Struthio camelus: one gene and its partner. The protein of the gene in region 2 interacts with the protein of the main gene of each other region in a biochemical or structural test. Links are inferred from orthologs where the notes say so. Each region holds a gene or a part of one and is shown on either strand. Other genes may lie near its edges.

Region 1 (7,661 bases), on a different chromosome or scaffold from region 2:
CTGTTTGTTCATGTTTTCCTCTAAGAAACACACACGTCCCAAATTTGGTACCTCAGGACGGTGCAGACAGGACAAGGGTGTAAGAACTGTGTCCCAGTGCCGAACCAGAAGAGGGGGACAACACAAAGCCAGCACATCCAAACAGCACAACATCCCCCAACTGGGATCAGGCAGCAGGTCACAAATACAGCTAACGCTTTGGAAGAAGCAGGGGAACATCACCTCCCATCTTGCCTCCACCATATAGTACCCAGCTTAGCGGTCTGGCCCTTGTACTGCAATTCAGGCTCAGTAAGTTTAGAACCAGTGTCGGCCTTGCTCAGTTTCTGAGCGTTCTGCACTTGCCAAGATGTTTCGACGGACAGAAAAACACGCTGCCCAATTGCTCCATCTGGTGAAATCACTCGTTTATCTATTCAGGCACCAACTTAAAAACAGCGAGTCAGTCCAATCGTTCCAACTGGCCAACAGAGCATTCCTGCCTACCAGCAACTTCAGATCATTTCAGCCCAGATCCTATAAAATCACGCATATGCTTTTAAGCACGTGCAAAGACGCAGCAAAATGGATGAGAACTGAGGAACCTCACGTGCATGGCCAGGTAGATCCACGTCTCTGATTCTGAATGGACAAGAACAGGGATGGTTGTCTTCAAGCTGTTTCCAAAGAGCTTCACATACTTTTGTTTCCGCATAAGCAACTTAATTACAAGGGAGGCAAGCCTGAAAGATTTTCTTTACTTCACCTAACAGAACTGCACTACCTATCAGCACTTTCCTGGCGGTACACCAAGAGTGCAGATAACAGGAAACTTATACACGAAAGATTAGGCAACAATTTTATATCTAGCATCCTATCTTCCCAGTTTACATAAGACTTAATTACTCCATTAAGCCTTAATTAAACCAATATTAAGACAAGGACCATCCAGTTGACACCTGAAAACTTGCATCACGAGGGGGGGACAACACGCTCGGAAAGGCCGATTACCTTGTCCCTAGCCCAGGCCGCGCCGGAGGCCTGCCCCACCACCTCTGTCAACAAACGCAAGGTCCAAAGCTGCGCCCAGACGCGCTCACCGGGTGCCAACCCCGGCTGGGGACATCCAGGCTGCACCGTCCGCGCGGGGAAAGCACGCCCCGCATCCCTGCTGCCAGGGGGGCCCCCGCAGGGCACCGCCGTCCCCGGGTGCCACCAAGACTGGGGCCACCGCGATGCCCGCGGCAAGTGTGGCACCTGGGGAGGCTTCCCGGCAAGGCCAGGGATGCTGTAGGACGCGCGGGGGGATGCTGTAGGGACGTGGCCAGGGATGCCGTAGGACGCGCGGGGGGATGCTGTAGGGACGTGGCCAGGGATGCCGTAGGACGCGCGGGGGGATGCTGTAGGGACGTGGCCAGGGATGCCGTAGGGACGTGGCCAGGGATGCCGTAGGACGCGCGGGGGGATGCTGTAGGGACGTGGCCAGGGATGCTGTAGGGACGTGGCCAGGGATGCCGTAGGACGCGCGGGGGGATGCTGTAGGGACGTGGCCAGGGACGCTGTAGGGACGTGGCCAGGGATGCTGTAGGGACGTGGCCAGGGATGCTGTAGGGACGTGGCCAGGGATGCCGTAGGACGCGCGGGGGGATGCTGTAGGGACGTGGCCAGGGATGCTGTAGGGACGTGGCCAGGGATGCCGTAGGACGTGGCCAGGGATGCTGTAGGGACGTGGCCAGGGATGCCGTAGGACGTGGCCAGGGATGCTGTAGGACGTGGCCAGGGATGTTGTAGGGACATGGCCAGGGACGCCGTAGGACGCGCGGGGGGATGCTGTAGGGACGTGGCCAGGGATGCGGTAGGGACGTGGCCAGGGATGCGGTAGGGACGTGGCCAGGGATGTTGTAGGGACATGGCCAGGGACGCCGTAGGACGCGCGGGGGGATGCTGTAGGGACGTGGCCAGGGATGCTGTAGGACGTGGCCAGGGATGCGGTAGGGACGTGGCCAGGGATGCCGTAGGACGCGCGGGGGGATGCTGTAGGGACGTGGCCAGGGATGCTGTAGGGACGTGGCCAGGGATGCCGTAGGACGTGGCCAGGGATGCTGTAGGGACGTGGCCAGGGATGCCGTAGGACGTGGCCAGGGATGCTGTAGGACGTGGCCAGGGATGTTGTAGGGACATGGCCAGGGATGCCGTAGGACGCGCGGGGGGATGCTGTAGGGACATGGCCAGGGACGCTGTAGGGACGTGGCCAGGGATGCTGTAGGGACGTGGCCAGGGATGCTGTAGGGACGTGGCCAGGGATGCCGTAGGACGCGCGGGGGGATGCTGTAGGGACGTGGCCAGGGATGCTGTAGGGACGTGGCCAGGGATGCTGTAGGGACGTGGCCAGGGACGCTGTAGGGACATGGCCAGGGATGCCGTAGGACGTGGCCAGGGATGCTGTAGGACGTGGCCAGGGATGCTGTAGGGACGTGGCCAGGGATGCTGTAGGACATGGCCAGGGATGCTGTAGGACGCGCGGGGGGATGCTGTAGGGACGTGGCCAGGGACGCTGTAGGACGTGGCCAGGGATGCTGTAGGGACATGGCCAGGGATGCCGTAGGACGTGGCCAGGGATGCTGTAGGACGTGGCCAGGGATGCCGTAGGACGCGCGGGGGGATGCTGTAGGACGTGGCCAGGGATGCCGTAGGACGCGCGGGGGGGATGCTGTAGGGACGTGGCCAGGGATGCGGTAGGGACGTGCTGGGCGATGCCTTCAGACGTGCCCGAGGACTCCTTGGAGCACAGCGGGCCACCTCTCGGGACGCGCCCGGCCCTGCCCCGCTTCGCGCCCCCCCGCACCCGAGGCCCGGCGAGGCCCAGGCCCCCGCTGCGGGCCGCCCCCAGCCCGCCCTCCCCGAGGCGGCGGCGGCGGCGCCGCTCTCCTACCTCTGGGCAGCGACATGGCTGGCGGCGGCGGCCCGCAGCATGCCCAGGGCACGGCGAGCGCCCGGCGGTGTCCGGGCGAGCGCGGCCGACAGCGGGGAAAGAGCCGCGGGGCGGGGCGAGGGCTGGCCAGGCACCGCCCCCCACCGCCGGAGCTTCCCTTCTATTGGTTGTCTGGAGGGAGGGGGCGGGGTTAGGGCTCGGAGAGTTTTATGGTTCTCGGGCGTGCGGCTGGAGGGAGGCAGGCGGGCGGGCGGGCAGAGGGAGGCTTTCTCCTCCATCTTGCCCCCAGCACCGTTGCGCCAACCGCCCCGTTGCACCGAGGCGGGGCTCGAGGCCGCTCGGCTGCCCCGGAACGGCGGCTCGGGGCTGAGGGGAGGCTACGGGGCCTCGGCGAGGCTGCGGCACGTGGGGCCGCACGGGCCTCCCTGGCTGCCGCGGGCCGTGAGCCACGGCGAGGCCTCGGAGCCTTCCTCCCCTGCTCGGGGAAGCCATCACCCTCCTCCTCCTCCTCGCCCGGGGCCCACCCGAGAGCCCCGAGCCCGCCGTCCCGTGCAGGGCCGTCCAGGGGCCCAGCACCAGCAGCCCCGGCCCGTCAGGCTCGTCGGCCCGTTCGCGCCACCCGGTCCCGCCGCCCCGAGCCCACGAGGCCCCTCGCCGCTCGGGACCACGGCGGGGCCGGACCGGCCCCCCCATCCGCCGGCGGGGGCCCAGCGCTTCGCACGGCTGAGACCAGCCAGCTCATCACGTTTCCCTTGGGACGGCTGCTCTGGGCGATACCCCTTGTGCCCCCGCCGAGCTGCCCCGGCCCAGCCCGGCCCGCTCACGCCGGCGTCCGATCCTGAAGGGCGGCTGTGTTTATCGCAGGCGCTGGGGATGCACGGAGGCGCGCAGGCCGGGCTGGGAAGCCAGCGGGAATTCGTTCCTCGCCCTGAGTCACCACAAAATTCCTTCAAGCCCAGCAATATGCCCGGGCAGATGCCGGCGGCGTGAGGGGGCTCTTCTTCTGCGCCTGCTGCGTTGCAGAAAGCAGTGGCTGAGCAGGACACGAGTGACGTAGCGGAAATGAGCAAAAAGCAAGTTGGGAATGCAGTTTTCTGGCAGGAATCCGCAGTGTGATCCGTCCAGGGACGGAAGGAGGGGTCGGAGAGGCGGCAACCCTGAACGCAGCCTCGGTGAAGTCGCAGCAAGCCCAGTTCCAAGACGTGTGTTTTGCGAAGCGTTTTGCATGGGTTCAAGGACTGGAAAACCTGTCTCAGAAACAGCGCACGGGAATCGCAGCAGAAGCGGAGGAGCTGGGTGGGCCGTGTCTATGCAAAGGAAAGATGTCCCGCCTCGAATGGACCTTTAATCCGGCCGCAGTGGTGTCAGAGCCAGCAACTGGAAACTGAAGCTAGAAAAGTTCAAATGGGAAATAAATTACAAATTTTTTAATGGTGACAGCAATTACCTTCCCAAGGGATGTAGTAGATTCACCACCTTTCCAGTCTTTCAACACAGACAAGGAGTCTTTCTAAAAAATATGCTCCTGTTCCAACCACAAGGTTATTAGTGGTGAAGCAAGAGCTACCGATGTCATTCTTTGGGCTGGGTAAGCAGGAGATCAGATCATCATGGACTTTCCTGGCTTTTAGCCCTACAAACCTCTGAATCAGCAGTTGGGTTTGAACTCCAGACTGGCTGATCCGAACAGGTTTGGGCTGGGTCAGTATTTGGGTGTGAGATTCGCTGGATGCCACTGCAGAGAGAAGAGCGCTCCTTTGCGCCTTAGCAAATAGGAGACTCCCTTGTCTCCAGCTGGAAGGGCACCTGCAAGGACCGGTGGGGCCGGCTTCGGCAACGTAACACCGGAGACATCTTGGCCGTTGTGCTCCCCGGAGCCTGGGGGAGCCCTTGTGAGCGCGGGGCGCAACCCTTGTGTCTAGGAGCACGTTTTGTGCTATGTGGTTCCTCCTCCTTTCACCACCAGGCACGGCAGGAGATTGCTGCCTGCTCCAGCCTGGGCTGCAATTAAAGGGGTGGATGAAACAATCGCCTCGTTTTATTCCTCCTCCTTGAATCACTGGGGAGTTTAACCAACAGATGTTTGTAACCTGCTCGGAGATCTTCAGACGCAGAAGCGCTGCAGAGGTATGAATGGGAATTTGGATGCGCTCAGCATGAAAATCGGACAGGCTGGCAAGGCACTGGGGCTAGGGAGAGAAGGAAAACTCATGAACCATTGCTAGCTGCAATGAGGAGAAGGAGAATGGTCCGGCCGGAAGGGCAGGAACAGGACCAGAGGCAGCATTTGAGGGTTGGTCATCTCCTCTTTGGAGCCAGGGCCCAGTTGCCTCTCATGGGCATCTTTCTCTTTATTTTGCAACCTCTAGGTGTCTGCCGGAGTTGTTTCTTTTGCCTGCAACTCCTCCTGTCTGTCTGAGCTGCTCATCATCAGATCCAACCGACTCACTGCTGGGTAAGTGTATCGGAAAGATCAGAGGGAGCTGTAATTGCTGGCCTGAGGCAGAGGTAATCATCACAGGCAAAGGCAGAGCAAAATGTCCCAGCAGAGCTTAAGCGTTCCCAGAAACTTCCGCAAGGGAGGTAGATTTTTAGCATTCCTGGAAGGCCACTCCACGTTTCGAGAATGTTATAGGTAAATCTGTGGATTTTGTAGGCTCTGGAAGGACGGAGGGAAAAGGAGGGAGGTGTGGGTCAGACCGCACTGAACACGCTGAGGTCCTTGCTGCTGGCGCTCGACGCTCTGCACTTCAGTGGCTGGCGGCCTCGCTGGAGGAGAGAGCTGGGGACTGTCCCCAGCCCCGCTGCTGTGGCGCTGCGCCAGGGCGGGTTTGAGAGCCGCCAAGTGTGCGGCGCCCGCACAGCCGGATGCAGCACCTGCCACGTCCCCTGTCACCGCAGAGCAGGGAAACCCAGCGGGGAGCTCCCCTTCGTCCACGTGCAATACGCTTCTCCTTTCCATCCCTTCTCAGGATCCCAGCCACGCATTTCCCCCGAGCCCCTCCTGCAGGCTCCAGGGCATTGGCACCCCCTCACAGCTCAAAGCCGGGTGCTGGATTTGGCCCCTGTCTCCACCTGCGCCAGGCTCCCCCATGCCCTTGAGCTCATGCCGCTCATCTTCTTCCTCCCCACAAAATCACAGCTGTGCTGGGCCCTGCTCTTTACAGCCTGTGTTTGGCTTCCCTTGCGTTCACGTGCTCACAATGTTTTGCCATCTTTATCTTCCAGCATCGCCATACGGCCTGGAAGCACGGGCTTAGCGAAGGCTGCTGGGAGGGAGTAATTGATTCCCCGCTCGCCCAGAAGGCCTGTAACAAAGGAAGGAATTGAACCTCAGCCACAGGCTTCCTTTCTCCCCGCCGAACCGCCGCAGATCTGCCTAGCGACGTGGGACGCATTTCTTAACCGCTTTGTGCCGTGACTTACAAAGGAGATCACACCGCATACCAACCACGCAGGCACGCCGTGAAAGCGGCTAATTTGCGTTTGTTAAATCTCTCAAGGTCACCGGCTAAAGAGCGCAGGAGAAGGACAACTTCACGTTACTGACATTTTCTAGCCTTTCACGTACCAGGAAGGTAACGAAGCCTTCTCCCACCAGAGCCAGCCCATTTCTGCAGCCTGGCAGGTACTGCAGCTCCACGGGCTCTGCTGAGCGGTGGCGCGCAGCTCCGGAGCCTGCGTTCAGCACAACGCCTTGGCATCAGCCCGGGTCCATGGAGCGGCATGAGCCAAATAAACCTGCTGGCCTGAGGAATCAATCAGTCTGTAAACTCTTGACTTCAGGGAGTAGGAACCAAAGGGATTAGTAAATGAAGGCCTAACTTCACAAGGCATTATTTAAGCGCAGACTACGCTGATTATCTATTCCACTTTATAGAATAATTCTAAATATTGTTACTTTTCCTATTATACAAACAGCCACCACCCTGCCCCACTGCACTAGCTGTTGCGCAAACACTTTCTATAGATGCAGCTCCTACCTCCAAAAGCTTTCAGTTCAAGGATACCAAGATTTTGTTGCTACGGCTCAACAAACAAGGAACCAGACAGCCTATTTCATCAACCAATTTTGCATATAGTGGATACACCGATTTCATTGAACAGACTCTGATTTACACAACATGGTGCATGGAAAGTCAAGTTCCTTATGTTTCAAAAGATGCAATTAATGCAGCCATCCCAAATACACTGTCTATGGTATCTGTGCTCCCCACACGCATGCTCAGGTGTCTGTGGTATCCTGTAACAGCCAACATACACAGTTTCTCCTGCTTTTGCAGCCTGCTTGTCTCTCAGGACAAGCGCCCCAAGAAGCTGGACACCCATGCAGCACCGTTTCTGTAGCCAGCCCCTTCGGGAAGCCTCGTGGTGTCTGTGGGGTTTTCAGCGCTGCCTACAAACGCAGCCTGGTGTTGCCCTGCAGCGGAGTGTTCCCACAGCCCACCAGCATGCGGGAAAAGGCACCGCGCTTCTGGAAAGGGGCATCACGTGAGGTGCAGGAATTTAGGGTTTGCACCATACCCCAGAGCAAGAGTGAGTATGCTAGTAGAGCAAACCAGTGCAGCACCAGTACACCACCCCAGTGCACTCATGCTGCACCAGTACACCTCTACAGAGTACCAGTGTAGCACCAGTACAACCATGCAGGACCAGTACGCCAGTGCAAGGTACCAGTGCAGCACCAGTACAGCCATGCAAGACTGGTGCAGGTCCAGTACACCAGTGCAGAGCACCCAGCACAGTAGCA
Region 2 (7,425 bases):
GAAAGTAAGAGTCTGTTAAATACCAGAATACCAGAGAGTCTAAAGCCTACAGGGAAAGCAAAAAAAAAAAAAGAAAAAAGAAAAAAGACAGAAAACAAGAATATTCTTACAGCTAAAGCCGGTCCCTAGAGACAGGAACAGTTGGTGGCAGCACTGAAACCCTGTGGCTATTTAATCAGCCCCTTCTCATTTCTAGCATGCAATGAATTTATATTGCATTAGCTCACGCTTTCTGTGTGAGACAATAAAGCTCTGCTGATTGCTCTTTACTCAAGTATAAACATGTTTTGCTCTACACTCGCTAAGCTGCTGCAATCACTGCCAGTCAGTAACTGCAGAAAGAAACAACCATATTTACTTAAAAGATGTCTATTTTATTTTAAGGCACTATTGACTTTCCAGTCCGGTACCTTCCTACTTGTAAAGAAGTTTGCAAAGTTTCTATCTGTAGTTCGACTTGCACTGATACCTGCAATATTGATCTATGCAGCAAATTTACTCAGTGGAACAGCAGCACGAGATGCTTTGTAACCAGCTAAGCAGAAGAGGAAAAGACAATCCTCACTTCAGATAGAGCTCTTACTGCGTTGACTCGCTTATACGAATCAATTTTATTACAATGCCAAAAGCAAAAGAGGCTACTGGCTGATTATCCAATTTGTTCAACAAAAATTATTTAGTAGTATAAAGGGACTGCACTGAAATGCAGACTACATGACTCCCTCAGTGCCTGAAGTGAGATTTGTGTATTCATAAGGACTGCAAATGAATCACAGTGGATGAAGCAAGGAAGATAGAGTTCCACTCCTATACTGTGGGATTTACTGTTGTAAATATCGTAACAGAAAGTGAAGGAATAGCTGCCCACGGCATTTTATGAGTAACAGGATTTGAGCTTTGCCCTGGCTATGAATCTGACACTCATATACAATGTAGTAACATAAAAGTGCTCCGAAACTTCTGAACTGAAGCACTGTGAGATTGCAAAGGCAGGCAGAGTGAAGATTAAAATTTGTTTTAAAATTCTGCATTAAATCATGTAAGAGGAGTGTTAGCATAGCTAAAATGAAAATTAAATGATCTCTATCTTCCTTATGCACGTCTAAGCATTCCACAAAGTCATTTCAGACCTACTCCTGGTTGTTACTGGATTTCGTATTTTGTACTTCCTAGTCCAAACTTCTGGACGTTAATTTTGTAAACTGTTACATACATAATATGTTTTATCCCCAAAGTAATTGATGAGGAATCCTTCTGTATTTCTTAATGACCCAACAATTGAATAGTAAAATAAGTTAAAACTTCAAATTCTGCACAGATATTTTAGTGTTCAAAAGAATCACAGAATCACAGAATCGTTTAGGTTGGAAGGGACCTCTGGAGATCATCTAGTCCAACCTCCCTGCTCAAGCAGGGACCTCTAGAGCATATTGCTCGAGAGGCAATATGCTTGAGAGGATTGTTATTGCCACTGTAAACATTACACATCACAGGCAGGAGTACAGTTTCACATTTTAATCTGAATTGTATATTTGTGACCTCTGGCTAAGGTCTAGTAGCTTAAGAAACGTGCTCTTAAATAGTACCATTATTTAAGCCGCTTTTATGACATCATTTATGGTTTGCTTTCTAGTGAATAGAAAAAAAAAGATGCCAGAAATGTTGCAATCATACAATTTTTTTTTAACAAAAAAGCGAACGCATTGCACAGACATCTACAATTTATGAACGTCCTTTGGGAATAACACAGTCGTAAATTTAATATATGCCTGCCAAGAAGGAGTTGTTTCATATGACAAATCTGGCAACTGCACTGCAAGTACAACATCAAATTGCAGATGTGCCACACCTAATCCAACTGGGCCAATGTCAAGGGAGGGCAAAAGCCAAGCACGACCATAGACTGCAGAACCTCTTCTTAGCTAAAAGAAGAATTTTCCTCTCCTAAAAAATCAGCGGCTGGTACAACTCTCTTGTAGGATAGGGCTACAGATGTCTGGATTCGTATTGTATCATTCCACTTTTCAAAAGTCAGTTCAACCTCGGCAAAGGGTAATACCATCAGGTCGAGAACGCGCTAGATAACGTTATTTGTAACGCAGAACCTATGCAATACCGTATTCGCGTTGCTTGACTTCTATTTTCTACGCTACCTCCTTTTATTGCTTAAGCAGCACCAGCGACGAGCTGGAAGAGCCATCCCTTTTAAAAGCAAGCAGACACCGCGTCCTTCTGCAGACCAACAGCCTTCCGAGGGTCGCCTTCTCAAACATACGAAAATTAAGAAAACGGGAAAGAAAGAGCCAAGCAGTAATTTTTCTTCCAGGAAAGGACGGAGAGGCTCGGCTTAGCCGGAGAGCACCGGGGTGGCCCAGAGGCGCTTTAATCCGCCGTTTCCTCTCCCGACTTCGCCCTTGTGGAGGGCGGCGGCGGCCGGGCCCCGGCCCCGTCCCCGGCCGGCGAGGGCCGCCCCGTCCCCGCCTCACGCCTCACTCCGGGCCGGGCCGCGGCGGCGGCGGCGGCCCCTTCCCCTCCCCTCCCCTCCCGGCCCGGCGGTTACCTGCTGCACGCCCGCCGCTCCCGCGTACAGGTCGGCCACCACCAGCACCGGCACGTGGACGTTTCTGCCGTTGAAGAGTTTCGGGGCTGCGGAGAGGGGGGAGGCAGAGAGGCCGCGTTAGCGCCCGCCGCCGCCGGGCGGGGGGGGGCAGCGCGGCCCGCCGCGCCTTACCGCTCTGCCGGGCCGCCAGCTCCAGCAGGTCGCTCAGGGTCTGCACCAGCGTCTCCAGCCGCTTCCTCTCCTGCACGTTTTGGAGCCGCACCACCAGCTTGCTCAGGGCTTGTTCCTCCCTCGCCGCCGCCGCCGCCGCCTCCCTCTCCTCAGGGCTGGCGCTGGCCATGGCCGCCCCGCTGCCCCTCCTCGGCCGCGGCTCACCCCACGCGCGGGCCGCCGCGGCCCAAGGGAGCAGGGCTGGGGCCGCCCGTCGCCACGCTGCGCCGCGCTCGCAGCGCCGCCCGGCCGGCGTCACCCAGCTGCTCCGAGCCTCCGCGGCGGCCGCTCCCCACTCCGCTGCGCTGCGCTGCGCTCCGCCCCGCTCCTCCCGGGGCCGTGACCGGCGCGGCGCGCTGCCAAACCCGCGCGGGCGGGCGGGCGGGGATCCCCGCCGCCCCCAGGGGGCGCCCGCGGCGGCTTGGCAACAGCCCCAGGCGGCGGGCCCGGTTCCAGTGAGCGACAGCCCCATTCTCCAATAGAGTGGCAGAGGGGAGGCCTCGGCTCCGCCCCTTCGCCCCCGTTTACGATATAGGGCGGCGTGAGGGGCTGAGGGTTCCTCATCTGAGTGTATTAGAGGAAAATAGGTCTGGGGGCGGGGTGCTGTAGTCTGTAGGGAAGGGAAAGGGGGAGCGTGTGTAGGCTGTGTGTCTGTCCCCTCTGGGAGGGTAGGACAGGTCCTGAGCTGGTGAGGTCCGCCTTGCCTGGGGAGGTGCAGGGGGGTTGCGTGTCCCCTCCTGTGGCTGGGCTGTCAGCGAGGGCCTGGGGGGGCAGCGAGGGGGCTCCTCCCCTTCCTTGAGAGGTTAAGTCGGCTGTGTGGTGGCTGAGATGAGAGCAGAGGGCCTCAGTGGTTCAAGTTGACCGTGGTGGAGGGCAGTGTGTGCTCTGCCCTCCTGAGTGGTTTGGCCTGATGGCCTCAATTAGGTCCACAGGTTTGGTTAAAAAAAAAAAAAAGTGGTGTTGCATTTAGAAGTTAAATTTCACTCTAAGCTTTGCAACGGTGGGCCTTCCTGAGACAAGGCTCTCTTGCCTTGTGCATGTGTTGCTTCATTTGTGATTGATGCAATCTTCCTGTAATCTGACAATATTTCTGGTACCTCTTGCTGCTTTTCAAAGAAAAGTGTTAGTTAATAAAGTAAATTATCTAGTTAAACTGGATTTTGTTAGATAAACGTTTGACCTTTTGGAGGATGATGGTAGGAGTATGGATCTATTTGAAGCTCTTGCTTAGGTTTTCATGCCTTGTGGATAGATATGCATCGTGTTTATTGAACACCTGACTTAGGTGATTGGCTTGAGTTTCTTAAAACAGACTCTTCTTAAGAAGCAGAACTGAGCACTCTGAGTAACGCTTCAGAACCCACGTAGCGCTGGCTAAACTGTCTCTGGTCTGTTGGCGTTTTGGTCCTGAAAAACTTGGGCATTGCTGTCCCAGTCACTGAGAGTTCTTACATTTTTGTGCACAAAGAAACTATTGTCTTGGCCTCCCAATTATAGCCTGCTAACTAAGACTGCATTTGTTAGATGGTGAGCTAGTTATTTCTCTGTGAAGCACTAGAGAACAAATATGAGTGTGAGGTAGCTTTATGAAGCAGTGACTCGCATTTTGACTTAAACAAAATGCATTACATCTGAACTAAAAGGAAAATGAGTTGGATTGAAATAGATTACTTTTACTTGAAAGATGTGTTTCCTTTCTGCAGAGGCAGTAATTCTAACGCAAAGAGCAGCTTTAAAATGTTTTTCTTGACTTAAAGCCTGATCATAGCCTTCCTGCAAATTTGACAAGGTTCTTGTATCCTGCAAATTTTACGAATACAAATAGTCTTTCATGTTACATCAATAATCAGCTTTCTCGAATACCTACCAAAACGTAGCCATTATCAGACTTGAGTAAATGATTTGATGTATTTAAAGGGCAATCTTCGTAATTTATACTCATCAGAAATGCCTGTTGTGAGGTCTAGTCTCTCCAAAACTATATCTTATAATTAATGATATTGATAGATGAAGTGATACATTAACTTCTAAATCTTAATCTTAAACTGAATTTTGTGGCTGTTCAGTGCACTCAGTGGTGCATTTTTCACCAGCTCTACTGCTGCTCCAGATTTCTTTGCATTGTGGTTTTTTAGGAATACGCTAGTACAAATTATGTATAGACTGGGAGTTTCAGTGAATGCAAGTGGAATGAAGTTGTGAATTTCATTAAGGAAAATTGAGATTCCATTTTGAGAACTCTTTGAGAATTGAGAACCCTTCTCCTGAAATAAGGTGGGTTCTTTAACTACATCCTGGGTGTAGGCTGCTGGAGATTACATGTATGTGCTGAGTTTGTTTTGCTGCTTTTAGAGTACTGTGTTGGTCGGTTCTTTTCTGATCCGCTCTGCCCCCAACAGCTGCCAGCTGTTTGGCAAACTTAAGGTCAGGGTATTAGGTTGTTAGGTGGAAAGAGAAGATAAAAAGTAGAGCTAAAATGTAATCTTAGTCTGTACTTTAAAAGATCTTTCTGTCTCTTAGACATCTCACCTGTGATTTCTTCAGCATGTCCTATTTGGGTTTCTAGAGGTTTCAGAGTTGCTCAGCTTCCCTTGTTCGTCCCTAAACTACAGATAACTTTCACTTCCATACACTTGCATTAGCTTTTCATAGTTTTTACGAAATCTGCCAGAAATATGTAGCAGCTGGGTCTTTCTTGATGCTGAGTGCCTTGAGTATAAGAGGGATTATTTCTGCTTCTTGTTTTATAGCTAGACAAATAGCCACCTGCCCACTGTGGGCCGTTCTTTATTTGTCCTCTTAGACTCAGATGGAACTAATGCTCATTATTATATATGGTATTGTCTCTGGTGTGTGACCATCCAGACAGCTATAAAGACACAGTATGACATACTGACATAGCATAGACTAATAAATTGTTCTACCTGCTAACGTATGAGAACGGATCTCTACCTTCAGCTTTTGTATTTCTGTATCACAGTGAATAAAGTACATGGTTGACCAGAGTTCTTTGGAGATGTGTGTGTGTTTTTTTTTTTTTTTTTTTTTAAACAAGCTGGATTCTTGCATCTCGGTGGTAGAGTTATCACTGAGATGCCTACTGTGTTAGGACATCCTGCTTTTTCTTTCCAGCTGTGGCTTATAAACACTCTTTGGGACAATGTGGAGCTATGCAGGATATTAAAAATAACTTAACTGATGATGTTTGTGGAGAGGATGTAAAACAATACAGATGTTTGGGTTTGGCCTTGAACACTGTAATGTTAACACGCATGCACCAGGAAGTCTTTGTTCTTATCTGTCACCTAATTTCAGGGGAAAAAGTAGAAACCCAGTCATGCTGATAAGCAATTGTATTGTACAGAAATTGGAGAACTTGTCTCTTGAATACACTTTTTTAAACCTGAATTGTAAGGTTCAAAGCATATTTAGGATTCACTAGCATATTATAATCACTATATGAACATTGACTTGGTGCAATTGCTTCTGTGTTGTGCCTAGCTTCATCTATTTATAAATGGGCTTATGGCAGTGTTATACAGTATAATAACACATGATTGGTCAAATTCATATTTACTACTGCATGTTTCCTCAGTTGATTTTTGACTGGCAGGCACTACCAGAGACGGTATCCTAAGTTTTCTTTTTCAGGTACCTAACAGGTGTCCCTGTGAAAAATGCAAGAGATAGGGCAAGCAAGTAATGCTAACAGCTGAACTCCAGCAGTATTATAAACACAGAAAACATGATGATCAATCTTCTCCGAAATGTTCAATGTGCACCCTGTATCTACCTTTCTGGCAAATGCTGCCAGTTGCAACAGGCAGTTCCAGCCTGCTCCATCCCGTTATGTACAGGTGATACTATCTCCCTAATCCTTTGCAGCTCTTTGGGTAAATGATTTGTAGCAATTGTTTGTTCCCTGAGCTAGGTGGTTTGTGGCCTGGTTTGATGTTCCCTCCTCTTTCCTCTTGCATTGGTAAAGAGCAAGAAAAAAAGTTGTCTTAGTGCTTCCTAGGGGACTGAATATGTAAAGGACCCAGCCGGACCCAGCCTTTTGAGATACAGACATCTCAAGCCCAAAGCTTGCAGACTGGCTCCCAAGTTTCATTCCTTCGCAAACTGTTCCCTGGAGGACTGCTTGGAGGGGGCATCAGCTACTGCTAAGTATCCACGAGTCTGGGATGGTTTGCGAAGTCCTGTGCGATTCTGCAGTGTATCACTTAAACCAGAGGAGAATGAAAAGAACAAACTCTTGATAAAAGTTCATAATGTTATTTTCTCTGGTATTCATAGATTTTTCTTAGGCTGGTGAAGATGTGAATCATATCTGCAAAAGAGAGCAAGGGTTGTTGATTAAGCAGTTTTTGTCATGATGACTGCTAGAGAGGTTGAGCATTGATAATGAAGTATAGGTGTCTGAATACCATTTTTCCAGTGCTTTGATAGGAAAGCCAAAGAACTTCACCTCTGGAGCACCAGTAGTTATTATTTTTCCATACTGGAAGATTCTTATATTTCTGCACTCTTTCTCATGATGCATCAGAGAGTGTGGGTGGCTTGTTCTGGTACCTAACCATAAAGACCACAGTGAGGGTTAGCTGCTCTTTAACAGAACTGGTTTAAAGAGTTCATTCTTTTATTCTCTCTGATGG

Evidence for each region. The genes of interacting proteins can lie anywhere in the genome.
Region 1: of the proteins of LRRK2 (region 2) and MAP2K3, one has a biochemical effect on the other in vitro, tested with the Homo sapiens proteins (2 studies listed by BioGRID). The link is inferred for Struthio camelus from reciprocal best matches to the Homo sapiens genes LRRK2 and MAP2K3.

What each region holds. Positions count from the first base shown.
Region 1 is NC_090956.1:4,372,997-4,380,657, reverse strand, and holds the start of MAP2K3 (dual specificity mitogen-activated protein kinase kinase 3), read right to left. Parts: upstream 3,034-7,661; 5' UTR 2,928-3,033; coding exon 2,912-2,927; intron 1-2,911. UniProt on the Homo sapiens protein: Dual specificity kinase. Is activated by cytokines and environmental stress in vivo. Catalyzes the concomitant phosphorylation of a threonine and a tyrosine residue in the MAP kinase p38.
Region 2 is NC_090942.1:16,687,646-16,695,070, forward strand, and holds the start of LRRK2 (leucine-rich repeat serine/threonine-protein kinase 2), read right to left. Parts: upstream 3,001-7,425; 5' UTR 2,901-3,000; coding exon 2,732-2,900; intron 2,647-2,731; coding exon 2,561-2,646; intron 1-2,560. UniProt on the Homo sapiens protein: Serine/threonine-protein kinase which phosphorylates a broad range of proteins involved in multiple processes such as neuronal plasticity, innate immunity, autophagy, and vesicle trafficking.